Elephas maximus indicus: one gene and its partner. The protein of the gene in region 2 interacts with the protein of the main gene of each other region in a pairwise test. Links are inferred from orthologs where the notes say so. Each region holds a gene or a part of one and is shown on either strand. Other genes may lie near its edges.

Region 1 (7,818 bases), on a different chromosome or scaffold from region 2:
ATTCTAGTTTTTTTTTTTTTAATGGCAGAAAATTGATTGTATTTTCACATTCATGGTGTTTCTATCCAATTTCAGCGCCCACATTTTGTGAGGAAACAATATTTTCCCAATGCAGGAGGGATTCCTACATTAACTGCAATGTTAGACTGGAGAAAATTGGGTATTTTAGGGTATTTTTAAGGCACCATCAAACCAGGTTTTTGTTTTAAATTTTTTTAATCAGTATTGTTTTTGGAAGTAATATACTTTAAAACTCTTGAGCTAAGTCTCCAAAACTCTAGAGGACAGTCTAAGAACACATATTACTATTGTTTTAAATAAATACATGTTTTTTAAAAGTAAATTCAATCATGGATTGTTGACTATGTCTTCATCAAAAGTGTTAATCCCTCTCAGGGTCTCTGATGAAGACCTTCAAGAGTTTGGTTTTTTCTCCCAGAAAATTGGAAGGTAGAATTGTAAATTCATAGACCTTATTTTATAATGGTGTACCTCAGCAGCTGCCTTTCAATTTATGCCAAGTCCTTACTGAGTTTATACTTGAATAGTAAATGTGTCTTCTGAGTTTTACAGTGTCTTAAACTCAGTGCACATTTTTTCTTCCTTTTCCACCCTTTCTTGTTTGTAGTTGCATTAAACCTGTCCTTAAACCTGTCCTATTACAGAGCTGATTTCCTTCCTGGCTGTACTTGTTGGGGTGCTGCATTTTTTTCCATGTCTTTAGTCTTCCATAAATTCAAAAATACATATAAATATATATATATGTATGTTCTCCTCTTTAGCTTGTGGTGAATACAGTAATTTGCATTGAAGAAATAAAACATTTGTTGCCTTTTTTGATTAAGATTTTACAACTTTCATTGGTGCCTGCTGCTAAATTCCAAGATAAACTCTCAGACACACATGGAGTCTCCATGAGTTGGAATCAACAGCAATTGGTTTTTCAGGGTAGCAAAGAATCAAGTATTAGAATGCAAGTTAATCACTATTCATCCAGCAGATCTTTACTAGGAACCTATTAGGTGCAGGACACTGTGCCTATTGAGAAGTACAAAATAGGTGTGTTCATGGAGCTTAAGTCTGGTAGTAGGAGACGACTATGTATTTGTATTTATTATATCAACTTATTAGTGCCCTGAAGGAAAAGAATAGGGTGCTGTAAGAGAATGAGAGGGACCTAATCTAGATAGGGGAGGGTGTCAGAAGTAGCATTAGTAGAAACCTAAAAGATAAATAGGTGATAACCAGGCAGAGGGACTGAGGACAAGCCTTCTAGGACTGGGTAGCTAGGTGAACACATTATAGGCAAAGGCCTTAACTACAGAGGAAAGGAGCTTGGTGGGTTTTGGGATCTGACAGAAGGTCCCTGTAGCTAGTAAGGTAGGAGCCAAGTGGGTAGCGTAGTATGTTCCAGCGTTGGAGAGGTTTCATGAAGGCCATGTTGAGGATTGTGTATTTTATCCTAAGTGCAGTAGAAAGCAAAGGCGTTCAAGCATGGAAGTGCCTTGATCAATAATTGTAAAAGATGGCTCTGATTTCTACGTGAAGAATAGAGTGGGGGGAGAGGGAAGGTGACAAGCAAAAATTGGAAATATAAGACTAGTAGAGAGATTCTGGAGTCATCCAGCTGGGGGTAAAGGTGGTCTATAAATTGAGTGGAAATGGAGAGAAGTCAGTGGAATTAATAATGTCAGCAGTCAGAGCAGTGCAGTAGCCTATCAGCTTTCTAGAAATCTACCCTTAAATTCTGCCCATAAAATGGCCTACTTTTCCAATTCTTAACTTCTAGACCATAAAACAAGAAGACTTCAATATTAAATTGCTTAAAGTCATTCAGAATGGAGACAAAATTGTAATCTTGGCACTATTTCAAAGGGAAAGACATATATTCCACATAGAAGAGAAGAAACTGGGGATTAGCAAGCCATTTGGGAGAGAGTAAACAGATCCATATTCTGCACTGAATGTAAGCATTGTAAGAATTGATAGCTAGACTTCTGATATTGTATCAGGAAAAAAAAAAACATAAAAAATTAAGTTACGGTATTCAGTTGTTCATTGGGAAAAATGCCCCCAGCGTTCCAGCCAGTTTTTTCTTTTTAATGAATTGTCACCGTTTCTGAATGATATAGAGGGAGGTCATGCTGCCATTTGCAGAGTGCCAGGAAACAGTGACTAGCAGAAAATGCCCTGCATGAGTTTCAATCATCTTGAACATATGTCTATGAAATCTTAAGACCAGTTCTTTCCAAGTTTCCCCACATTTTTTTTTTGCTCTTTATTCACTTAAAAATATTAATGCTAACCCACAAAGGATTTAAGAAGAGATTATTTGTGCAAAAACACTTAATATATACAATTTTTTTGTTTTTTCTAGAAATGGGAGAAAGGCCACTGTTCTATTTTAAGTGGAAAAATGTTCTGATTTCCAAGAGTCTGGTTTGGCACCCCAGGGATTAGGAATGATAATAGCATGGTGGCTAAAAGAGACTATTAGGACCGGGGCTGGACCCAGGTTCTAGCCCCACTCTGCGATTTATATCACCAGCGTGCAAGTACCTAACCTCTAAGCCTTGGTTTCCTAATCTGTAAGATGGAGACAGTACCCATCTCATAGGGTTTTTGTTTTTTCTCACAGGGTTTTAAGTATTTCAAAAGGAGACAATGTATTTATAGTCTTTAGCAGGGTATCTGGACATGCCTGAGGAAGTGGGTACCTATTATCTTTATCCCCATTTGTTCCTACAATTAGAATGATATAGTAAAGATGGTCACAAATTCTTAGACATTTCTCCCTACAATCTATGTCCCCTTCCCCTTCAATCTAGGTGGGCTCTGTAATGGCTTGACCACTAGAATGCCATGGAAGTGATCCTGTGCCAAGTTTCCAGTCTGAGGTCTTAAGAGACTGGAAGCTTCCACTTCCTGTCTCTTGAACTACTTGGCTCTTGGACCCCGCTGCCGTATTGTGAGATAACCCAAACATCTCCAGGGAAGACCTCCATAGAAAGGCACTGAGAGACCCCCAGCCCTCCAGCCAATAGCCACAGTAGAGATCCCAGCTGAGAGCCAACACCAATTTGCCAGCCATGTGGAGGAGCTATCTTGGAAGAGGCTCCTCCAGCCCCATTTCAGCTGCCCTAGCTGATGACAAGCTGAACAGAGACCAGCTGTCCCTGCCAAGCCTCGCCCAAATCCAAATTTGCTCAGTAAAATAACTTGTTTCAAGCCACTACAATTTCAGGTGGTTCGTAACAACAATAGGTAACCAGAACAGATGAAATCACAGAGTTTCATTCCTCTGCCGCTCTGACCCCATAAAAGATTGAATTAGTAGGAAAAGTAGGTAAACTCATTTTGTCCAGAAGAAATGTGTGGTATACAGAGAAAGTAGGTCATGAGGAAATTTGCTGAGTTTGCTATGGGCTGTTTGACTAGTGCGTGACTAAACAGAACTCGGTCCAGCTTATTCAGCAGACCTTTGTGGATGCCGGTCTTCTACCTAGGACTAAGCATAGCTCTGAGAATTGATCTCACCCTGGGTATAACTGTGTATGTTTTTAACCCACCTTTAGTTTCAGATCCCTCTGAAACCTATTTTATGCCCACCTGACCCTCAGATCAAACCTAAGCCATACGGTAAATCCCTCTGGACATGTACCACACATTTGGCCAAAAAGTATCATGCAACCAGAAAGACAGTGCTCGGTGGTCCAATCGAGCAAGTCAGCCTTAGGGAATCCTTTTGTAAAATTTAGCACCGCTTTGGAGAGGACCTTCCTTGGAGTAAAGTGTTCTGACTCCTGGTTGAGTTGCTCAAAGTGGCTCTGTCAACTTATCTTGCACAATTAGCCAAGAAACCAGTTACTGCAGGATAATCTTCATGATTAAATTACTAGACATCCAATGCTTGCGGCTAGGCTTTCCTTCCACGAGGGGGAGTAACTGTCTTGCAAATCAGACGTCTGCAGTCTCTGGTTCAAAAGATAAGGAGTTGGCTCTCCAGCGATTTGCATTTACCCATAACCCATTGCCGTCTAGTCGATTCCGACTCATAGCGACCCTATAGTTTATACAGTGTTCTTAAAACGTGCTTCAGTCTTCACAAACACCGTACAAGGTGCAACTTATCCATAAGTTGCAAATGAGAAAATTCAGGCTTATGGTTTCAATTCCTCCATCCATGAAATGAAGGTGATTGTTACACAGCGCATAAACAGCTCAGTAAATCCATTCCATACTGCCCGGAGCTCAGGCTCCCTTCGCGACTTTATCTTCCCTTTTCCTTCCTTCCTTTCCCGTTCCGCTCCGTTTTGTCCCGCCCCTGGCGTTGGGTAGTGCTTGCTGTGATTGGCTGTCAGGAATCCACGAGGCGGGAGCTCCGGGCTGGGAACGAGGCGGGCGGAAGGAGGTGCGGTGGCCATGGTAACGGGAGGCGGGACGCGGCGCCCAGCGGTCAGTAACCGACGCAGGGATCCCGCGGTGGTGGCGGCGCGCGCAAAGCGGCCTGGCCGGGCGTCAAGGCCCGGCCGGCGCGTGGCCGCAGCCCGAGGAGCCTGAGGCCCCGGCGGCGAGGCTTCCTTCGGGCCGGCCGGCGTGCCCTCGATGCCGGTTGGAGCAGTGCGGGGTGGAGCGGAGGCTGGGCCCGGGCGGCGGGCAGGCTAGGAGGCCGACGAGCCGGCTCGCCCGCGGCGGTGGATGTGTCGGCCGTGATGGACGCCTTAGAGGAAGAGAGCTTCGCGCTGTCCATGTGAGTGACGCCTTGGCCTCGGCCCTTTAAAACGGTGCCCTCGGGGGGCGGGCGGACACCGCCCCAGATCCCAGCCTTGATCCTGCGGCTCCTGCGACCGCTGCACCGGAGAGCGGGGCGGTGTCCCCGGTTACCAAGCCCCCATCACAATCCCCCGGCCTCGGGCCCTCCGCCGTCCGCAAAGCCCTGGCGGGCGAGAGCTGCCGAGACCTGGGGCAGAGGATCCTCCACCTTCCGCCCCAGCAGCTCCTGAGCCTGGCCAGTGTCTCCCTCACGCCGGGTCCCTGCTGACGAGCAGATTAAGTGTGGGTGATAGCGAGGATGCAGTGAGTAGATCGTGCAGCAAATAAATGCCATATATCGCTCAAGGCCTTTTTGTCCAATGCGAGCCTTTGCTTCCTAGGCCCCTTTTGTATTTCGTTGTGTCATAATCAGGTTCTGTGCAAGTAGAATCTTAATTCACCTTCATGTCAAGGATGTGTAAAGTGGGTTGTTTGGAACGCTAGATTAGATAAGTCATTTTTAATTGTTGAAGCTGGGTGATGGGAAATTCATTTTACTATTTTTTTTTCTCTTGTGCATGTTTTAAAATGTCCAAAAATCTTTTTTTTGTTGAACGAATTATTCGAAACCACACCTAATCCAGTCATATGAATTTTCAGCTCCTCCGCCTCTGATGCAGAATTCGATGCTGTGGTTGGTTATTTAGAGGACATTATCATGGGTAAGCTGCCTCACCACTGCCTGGCCTGTGCTCTCTCCAGTCCGTTCCTAGACACTTGCTTTTAAGGACACCGAAATCAATTTAGAGAGTTAATTTTAAGTGAAAACATCAAGCTGCATATAATTATTAATGTAGTGCAATGTAATATTTGCAAGTCTTAGTTTTGGGTTTTTTTTTTTTTTTACTTGATTTGCCTTTAAGGCAAACAGCTCAGTACTCCTCAAAACAGATAACATAATTTCATGACCTGGAAGGGACTTACTCAACTAATGGGACACCTAGAAGTTATGGGGCTCTTGGCAAAGCTTCAGGAAATACTGACCTAGGTTATTTCCTATATAAGCAATTTCACTTTTTAGATAGTTTTGCATTTTACCATTTTCATGGCATATAAAACCTAACCAGAAAACCAAACCTAGTGCCTTCGAGTCTGTTCCGACTCATAGCGACCATATATAAGAACAGCATAAAACCATAACCATAAGCCACATGTCTATGAAGAAAACAAGGTATCAGACTCCAGCAGGTTCTGGGTTTTGAGTTTCTATTTGTGGATTTATTTCAGCATCCCTAAGACTTGCTAAGTAATAGACAAGGAGTAACAGGCACCAAAAGTTTAAGACAGATATTGGGGTTGGGGTGGGGCGTGAAAACTTGAGAAAATTCTGACTTTTGACTTTCCAGAGAGTTAGGAAAGGAACACTTATTTGGTGTTATTGACTATACGGCATAGTCCAGTTTAGTCTGAAAATCATGTTTTTCTCCCTTCAGGTCCTGTAGAGAGGTACATGCCCTTAACTCCTAAATCCAGATGTTTCCCCATTGAACATACAGATATTTCCCTATTGAACTCTCATCCCATGTAGATGTGTGGATTTCTGAGAAATACTGAGGAGGAATCCATTCACTTCTTTTGCTCTTTATGCTGAGGGAAAATGAGCCTTCTGTAAGCCCAGGTTATTTATCCCAAAGTCTGGGTCCTTTGTGAAGCTTTCCTTTTATTTTTAGAAATAATATTCTACTTGAAAAAAACAACCAAACCCGTTGCCATCGATTCGATTCCGACTCATAGCGTCCCTATAGGACAGAGTAGAACTGCCCTGTAGAGTTTCCAAGGAGCGCCTGGTGGTTTTGAACTGCCAGCCTCTTGGTTAGCAGGCGTAGCACTTAACCATTTCCAATCAGTTGTTAAAAATCCCTAATGTTTATTAGGTGCTCACTGTGAACTAATCTCTACATAAATTCTCATCTAAAATCCACCTAGCAATCCTTTAACATAGGTACCATCACCATTCTCATTTTCCAGATGAAGAAACTGGGGCTTAGGGAAGTTAACTTGCCTAAGGTCATACAACTTAGCTGAGGGAGAATTGGGACCCAAGCATCCTGGCCTCTGTCAGAGCCCGTACTTTTAATGACTACCGTGTTTGCACCACTGCTTCTGGATTATACTGGAGTCTATAGCTCAAATGAGAGAATCGATTCATTCCATTACAGTAAAGTAATAATGTGAGGGAGTTCCCAAGCCAAGAAATGAAATGGATTCATCTATTTCAATATCCATGTCCCAGTTAACTGCTGCCCCCTTAAACACCATCAGCTTTCCCTTTTAGAGACTGGCCATTGAGGAGCAGTAGTGTACTGCCTACTTATATAGCAGAGTGGTGTTTAGTCTCCATTAAAAAGAATAAATCTTCCCTATTGTGGTTTAGACGATGAGTTCCAGTTACTACAGAGAAATTTCATGGACAAGTACTACCAGGAGTTTGAAGACACGGAAGAGAATAAACTCACCTACACGCCTATTTTTAACGAATATGTAAGCGATTTTCTATTTCTCTTACCAGATTAGGATTTCTTTAAAGTTTAAATTTAGACTCAAAAGATGTTAAAATTTGCCCTTTCAAAATCTGCCACCAGCACATTGCCAGGGATTCTAATTAGAATCGGGTTTAGTTTTCATCTCCTGTTCATTATTCCACACAGCTCTTATGGCTGTTTTCCAAAGGGCTTTCAGGCAAATGTTTGATGATCTTATTTAAAAGAAGACACTTGGCTTACCATAATCCTCCCTTCAGTTGTGTGGGTTCAGCACACCTTGTATTTGTATATTTTTGACCTTTTTCCTTCCCCTCACTATTTTTTTCTACTTTATAATTCAGTCAGGTAAGCATGACTATTAGGCGAAAGTGAAAACTGAGACCAAGGTCCCTACCTACCAAAAACCAAACCCCTGTTGCTGTCTAGTGGATTCCTACTTAAAGGTTCCTACCTAGTTGGTAGCAAAACGGATACCTGGGAACCTCAACTCTTTACCCTTGGGCCTTTCCATACACGCTGGGGC
Region 2 (7,359 bases):
CGGGAGTCCCTCACCCCAATTTGTCTTCTTTCTCATCACTTCTATACTAAATAAATATAAAGAACGTTCCTGAGGAATGGAGGATGGGCATCTTCTCAAGAAGATTGGGTTCCCACTTCACCAGAGTCCTAATGAAAAGACTTGTATTCAGCTTCCCTAAATGTGTAACGCTGAGCATGGTTTTATGTAGAAAATGGGAACAACACTCATATCTCAAGAAAAAAAGTTATGATGATTAAATTAGATAATGCATATAATGCATGGCACATAGTAAGTACTTAAAACAATAGCTGCTTTTATTTTTTTTATTTTTCAGTGACCATTTCCTGACCAGGAAACAAATACTACTGAGAACAATCTTCAAATGTTGAACATATTTGATAACTACCACTAGGTTCATATATGCGGAAAAAAGCCATTGCTGTGTTGATTCTGACTCATAGCGACCCTGTAGGACAGAGTAGAGCTGCCCCATAGGATTTCCAAGGAGCTGCTGGTGGATTCAAACTGCTGACCTTTTGGTTAGCAGCTGAGCTCTTTACCACTGTGCCACCTGGGCTCCATATACGTGGAAGTACACCATAAATAGTTACTGAATGAATGAGTCATATTTTAAATAAACAGTGATTAGTTATGCGCTAAAATTACTGTCATCTTAGTATTTCATCATGCTAATCCTAAATGTTCAGGAAAACCAATTATGGGTTTTTGTTACAGTAACTTAGGTTTAAAAAAATGTATTAGTCATAGCTGAAGATTAAAACACACACGCACACACACAGAGCCTGGGACCCATTCTTTAGTTGTACAGTTAACCATGGGGGGCTCAGGGGATACCAGATGTGACATATTTAATCAGACCACTGACCGTTTAAATTTAGTGTTCCACTTCCAGTTCTAAGAATAGCTCACACTTTTGGAGACAGGAAAAAAAAACTTATTTGGGAAACCAGATAAAGAATCTAGAATAATTTGTCCTAATTTCTTATTGTTCATTTAGGAAATGTAAAAATAAAACCAAAATCTCTCTTGATCATTGACTGCAATGGTTGTATATGACAGTATTGGATACACTTTCAATTTGTGGTATATACTGCCAATTTGTTGTATGCAGTGTCTATTTGTTGTATACAATGTCAATTTGAGCCTCCAAACATGAGCAGTGCTTAATTTATTGTGGGCTGTAATTATAAACAATCATAAAATTACACAGTCACTTAATCGAGAAACTGGGAGAAGTTAGCCAACTCTTACGCATTTCTCATCTATGATGACAAAATTCATTCTCTGTTGATTTGGCATGCCTTTTTCCTTTCAATCCCAGTTCCCTTCTGTGTAAATATTTATGTTTGTACTCATTTGTTGAGAAAAACTTAGCCTTTTAATGGACAGCTCATGTATAAATGATTAATAAAAAGGAAGTACTTGTAAAATCTGTTTAGCCTGAGGTTAGTAAAACTGCAACGTGGCAACTGTGAAATGTGATTGGCAACTTCAGATCAAATAATTCTACTTCTTTAACAATCTGAAAATGTAAAATCAATTGGAAATTTTTTCTAAATCCATATTTTCTCACTGGATAATCTGAACAGAGATACATGTATCCCCCCCCCCCCCTTCGCAGGGGCAGCTAGCTTCTTCTTAGGTCTTAAATCAGTAGAAATGGATCAATGTTTTAAAAAGTCAAAAAGGAACTGGGGGTGGGATGGGGTGGGGAAGTAAGTAATTGTAAATTTGAGTGAGTACTGGCTGTTTGCAATTGGTAAGCCAATCAATCTGCTCTAAATAATTCAAAATCAAATTTTCTACTGACAAGCTCTAAAACTACTCATACCATTTTAACCTCCTCCAAGAAACCAGAGAAATCAAGAAGGCCCATTTCCCATTGTCGTCGAGTCAATTCCGACTCATAGCTACCTATAGGACGGAGTAGAGCTGTTCCATAGGGTTTCCTAGGATGTAAATCTTTACGAAAGGAGATTGCCATATGTTTCTCCCACGTCACGACGACACAGTGTCAAATCTGTCACACATCATAATTTACACTCTGGGAAAGCTTTAATCAGGGCTAAGAGAGAAAAGGCTTGCCTCAAACTGATGGCCACTCCCAGTTTTAATTTTCCATTCTTTTTAGTTTGGAGACCCCAAACTGGGATTAAGGCCTTTGGTCCTGGTGTGGTCATATGCCAAAGGCTGCAACAGGTTCCGAAGGAAATACTAGAGATTGAGCAGTTAATTTGCCTACGCCAATGTGGCTTAAGTATTGGAGAGGAAATCGGTCACCAACTAGACTTTGCAGAACCCTCATCAAATGAGTAACTCCAGGTTGCAGAAGCGCGCCAGCCACGCAGACGCCAAGGCGGTTTAAGATTCACCAGGGATCCCTTTCAAGTAGCACTTCTTTGTGCCTTGGGACCTCCACGCCCCAAGGGTCCGCATCTCTCCAGGAAGAGGCGAGCTAGGATACCATCTCCCTAGTACTGCCAGGGCGACCTCAAAGAGATCAGCGCCGGCCCTCTCCCCGCTTCGTCCTCGGCCTCAGGCAGACCCCCCTTTCCTGCGGCGCAGGGACGCGGATTCCCCGGGAAAAGCTAAGTCGGCGTGCGGAGGCTGTTCTCCGCACTCCTAGGATCCGTCTTTATCATTGGCCCCAGAGCAATGATGGAGCCCCGGCTCCATACGGGGCCAGTCACTGACCCTGTCAGCCCCTTCCCTGAGCCTCGGACTCGTTGCAAGCCCCGCCTCCCTCCCCAGGCCCAGGCCTCTCTCCAGGGCCCATCCTCGGGGTTCTCCGCGGTCCCGCGAAACCGATCGAGAACCCAGACAGCGGGCTGCGCGCCGTCCCTTTCCCTCCTTAGCTCTGAGCGCAGTGCCCCGCCCCGGACCAGGGGACAGAGGGGTGACCGGCCAGCTCCGGAGGGGCCCAGGCCCCCACACTCACCATCCTCCCGCCGAGTCCCTCCTCCTCCTCCTCCTCCTCCTCGGGCTGCCTCCCCGTTACCAGGGGCAACTGCTGCGGCACCGCCCCCGACGTCCCTCTCACGCACAGCGGAGGAGGGAAGCAGAGGTACAGAGGCGGGTCCAGCTCCGCTTTCTCCAAAGTGCGCAAGCGCGCCAGGGGCCGCCCATCGCGCAGGCGTGCTGTTAGAGCGGCTGGAGGCGGCTACGGGCTTGCAGGGACCTGGAGATGGTGCAAACCAGCCCACGTGGTTGGCGCCCGCCGAGCCCCGCTTGGGGGCGGGGCGAGGGGCGGGGCCCAGACCGGGCTCCCCAAGCGTGCTGCATCTGGTAGCAGTTGTCTCAGGGCACTCCTCCCGGGACCAGGTAAGGACCATTGGGGAGAGAGCCGCTTGCCACGTCTACTTTCAGTCCCCACGTCCCGGGAGGGAGTTTGGATTTCTGTCCTTACTCTGCCCAGGTGGGGCTGCAGCGCGGGCTGGACGCTAGACTTCCACCTGCAGAAGCCACGTGGCGCGAGGAGTGGCCTCGGGCTCTCCCCGCAGGTCCCCAGGGCCTTCGTGGGCTAGGCCAAGGGGCCGGGGCGTTTTGAGCTGTGTGCCCACCTCCACACCCTTTGTAAGGGTCTGGGATGAGGGATCCGGGTGGTGAGAGGCGAAGAGGCAGCTTGTCTCAGGGCAAAGACCAATCTGGGACTTGCTCTGCTCTGAGTTGACAGCAGGGGTGAAAGGCGTTTTGCGATTGGCTGGGTTTTGCTATGTCGAACCGGTCGTACACCATCTGCACTCCTGGAAAAGGCACAAATGGGCCTGGACTTGGAGCTAAAGAAGAGCTAGGGCGTTCTGGGTGGGTGGGGAAGTGCTTCCACCCCTTTCCCATGCAGAGGCCCATAGAAGAGTTGACACACATGCCAGGCCCTGTTGTAGACGCTGGAGATACAGCAATGGACAAAATTTGCTTTCTAGTGACATGCTTTTCATACACGATTTCATTTCATTCTCACAGTCACCCTGGAAGTTGGTTATTTTAAGCGATAGAATGAGACTCGAACCGAGTTCTGTCCCACTCTTGACAGAGTGCTCCAAGTAGGAGGAACAGAGTGATTTATATCTGTAGTGTAAACCAGACTTTTTAAGAACTGGTAAAGCCTGGGCGCTGATGGATGGACCTGGAACTTTGCAGATGCATGGGAGCATATTACCTACCGCCTACGGTTTTTTTCACGGTTGTTTGTTAAGTGCTATGGCTGCTAACCAAAGGGTCGGAAGGTCGAATCGGCCAGGCGCTCCTTGGAAACTCTGTGGGGCAGTTCTACTCTGTCCTATAGGGTCGCTATGAGTTGGAATCGACTCGACGGCACTGGGTATGGGTACGGTTCTTTGAGGATTATATGAATTATTATATGTCAAGTACATAGAAAAATGTCACACACAGGAAGAGCTATATATATATATGTATATATGTATATATATGTATATATGTATATATATATATATATATATATATATATATATATATATAGGGATTAGCTATTACTATCGTTTCCTCCAGGGCTTTGAACCATTTCTTCCCGCTTCAGTCATGACCCGGGAAGGGAAACTGGAACAGACCTGAATTTTTAAAAATTTGAGCCAGAATGACAACCGGAATGGGAAGAATTATGGATCAAAATGCTACTAGAAACCTGATCTCCCTCTTAGAAAACAAAGGGCAGCATACACGTTGTGTAGTAACAAATTGTTTCCTGGTAGGATTTTGAGCAGAGTTGCAAACAGTGGTGCTCCGCTCAGAGATGGTGGCCTACCACGCAGCTTTGAATGTGTGTCCTCTCCACAGTCTTGCCAATAATCTAATCTCACTCATCGGGCTCTTGAAAGCGGCTCACCGTGCCTCTTCCAAGTCTCCCGTTCCAGGGCTTCCAGCCGTAATTTTTTCCATTTCTGTTATCATTCCAGATCATCCAAATTGTAAAAATTGGGGTCTGTTTCCGTTTCACTTCGTTGGCTGTGACTGAACAGGTTTGAAGCCTTAGTTTCACCTAGGTTTTTAGGTTCTGCCCCTGTTCCTATCAGCAGGCTTTCGAGCCTATCCAAGATCATTGGAATGAAGGCAAATTTTTCCCTGAATTGTCCTTTTTTTTTATGGCACTAGTTTTTTTTTTTATTTGTACATTCAGCCAATTTTTAAACATCTGCTGACTCAACGGCAGTGGGTTTGGGCTGCTTGCATACCTGCTTCAGAATCTTGGAGAGAAAACAGTTCAGAACCTTGACTAAAGAGGTGCAAGATGAATGGTTAACTCAGAGTGTGTACCGCCTCTACAAGGAGCCCTGGTGGCACAATGGTTCAGAGCTCAGCTGCTAACTGAAAGGTCAACAGTTCGAAACCACCAGTGGCTCCAAGGGAGAAAAGACCTGGTAATCTCCTCCCCCATAGGAATTATACCCTAGGAAACCCTACGGGGGTAGTTCTTCTCTGTCCTGTAGGGTCACTGTGTGTTGGAATTGACTGGATAGCATATGTCAACAACCATCTCTACCCACGTGTAATCTACCTATTTCTAGCTTGGTGGCTCTTTTGTGAAATAAGTAAGGCAAATTTCTCTTTCTGGGTTGTGTCTGTGTCCAGTGTCACAGTTGCCTTGGAATAATATGGGCATACATGAGCGTACGTAGGGATACACCTGGGCCAACTTGTTTAATTATTAGTCTCATTTTCCATCTTGTTCTAGCCAGCCTTGACATCAACCCTCACCTATCTCAGTGGTCTGTGTGTGAACTTTTTTAAGTCTTTGGTTGCGAGCAAGAATGTTTTGTTTTTCACCTTACCTGGGACTCCAAACAGGGAATTCTTGGGTAGAGAAAATTATCTGCACTTTTCTGCCTCTTAGGCGAATACCCCAGAGGGGTTTGGAAGCCTTTTCTCTGAGCTGTGATACTGTTTGCCAGAGAAAAACAAGTCACCATGGCAAGGATGAGCATTACTTCAGCTGAAGTAGTAGGTTATTTCCCTTTTCCTTTTCTCTTCTCCTTTTTTTCCCCCCTTAGGAGAAAATAAGTAGGCTGTAGTAGAAAGAGAAGGAGTCGTCGTGGCGCAATGATTAAGCGCTTGGCTGCTAATCAAAAGGTTGGCGGTTTGAATGCATCAGCCATTCCGTGGGAGAAAGATGAGGCAGTCTGCTTTTGTAAAGATTTACAGCCTTGGAAATGCTATGGGGCAGTTCATCTCTGTCCTATAGGAACGGCATGAGTCGGAATTGACTCAACGGCAGTAAATTTGGTAATGGGTTAGTGGGAAGAGAAACTGTCTAGGTGACCCTAAGCCAAGCCTTATGACCTTGGGAAAGTAGGGTCCTAGCTATCATCAGATCTTTGAGGACTAGATTTGTTCCTCTTTATACCTGCCACAAGTCTTTAGTGCAGGGCACGTGTGCCACAAACACTAACCATGCTGTTGAATGGATGTGAACATTTCTACGCTTCAGTTTTCCCTTCTGTGAACTGAGGGGGTTGGTCCAGGGTCCCTAATGTCTTTGAGCTATGACATTCTCTGATCCTAGAAGGAAGAGGAGGTATTGGCCAATCATCTGTTTGATTTCTATCTCCCCCTTGTTCCCAGTAGTGAGAACCACATTGCTTTAGAAGTGGGGCCGTCCTGGACATGATGGTGACCTTCTTAGTGAGACTAGCTGTGGTTGTGCAGGAGGAGGGAGAGTAACAGTGGAAGAAAAGTTAGAGACTACCTGTGGTTCAAGGAGCCCTGAGGGCACAACTGTTAAGGGCTTGGCTGCTAACGGAAAGGTTGGGGGTTCGAACCCACTGTCATGGATTGAGGAAACCCTGGTGGCATAGTGGTTAAGAGCTACGGCTGCTAACTAAAAGGTCTGCAGTTTGAATCCACCAGGTGCTCTGTGGAAACTGTATGGGGAAGTTCTACTCTGTCCTATAGGGTTGGTATGAGTTGGAATCAACTCGATGGCCACGGGTTTGGTTTTGGTTTTTTGGACATGGATTGAATTGTGTCCTCAGAAAATATGTGTCAGTTTGGCTAGGCCATGATTGCTAGTATTATGTGATTGTCCACCATTTTGTCATCTGATGTGATTTTCCCGTGTGTTGTAAATTCTACCTTTATGGTGTTAATGAGGCAGTTGTGTTATTGAGGCAAGACTCAATCTATAAGATTAGGTTGTGTCTTAAGTCAATCTCTTTTGAGATATAAAAGACAGAAGGTAACAGAGAGACAGGGGGACCTCACTACCACCAACAAATAAGTGCCAGGAGCAGCGCATCCTTTGGACCTGGGGTCCCTTCTCTGAGAAGCTCCTAGTCTGGGGAATATTGATGACAAGGACCTTCCGCCAGAACTGACAGAGAGAGAAAGCCTTCCCTCGGAGATGGA

What was found.
Region 1: the proteins of ARL3 (region 2) and ARL2BP interact in binary tests that used the Homo sapiens proteins (3 or more experiments, as listed by UniProt). The link is inferred for Elephas maximus indicus from reciprocal best matches to the Homo sapiens genes ARL3 and ARL2BP.

What each region holds. Positions count from the first base shown.
Region 1 is NC_064839.1:24,185,499-24,193,316, forward strand, and holds the start of ARL2BP (ADP-ribosylation factor-like protein 2-binding protein), read left to right. Parts: upstream 1-4,442; 5' UTR 4,443-4,712; coding exon 4,713-4,750; intron 4,751-5,412; coding exon 5,413-5,474; intron 5,475-7,186; coding exon 7,187-7,293; intron 7,294-7,818. UniProt on the Homo sapiens protein: Together with ARL2, plays a role in the nuclear translocation, retention and transcriptional activity of STAT3. May play a role as an effector of ARL2.
Region 2 is NC_064834.1:54,252,171-54,259,529, forward strand, and holds the start of ARL3 (ADP-ribosylation factor-like protein 3), read right to left. Parts: upstream 3,052-7,359; 5' UTR 2,945-3,051; coding exon 2,942-2,944; intron 1-2,941. UniProt on the Homo sapiens protein: Small GTP-binding protein which cycles between an inactive GDP-bound and an active GTP-bound form, and the rate of cycling is regulated by guanine nucleotide exchange factors (GEF) and GTPase-activating proteins (GAP).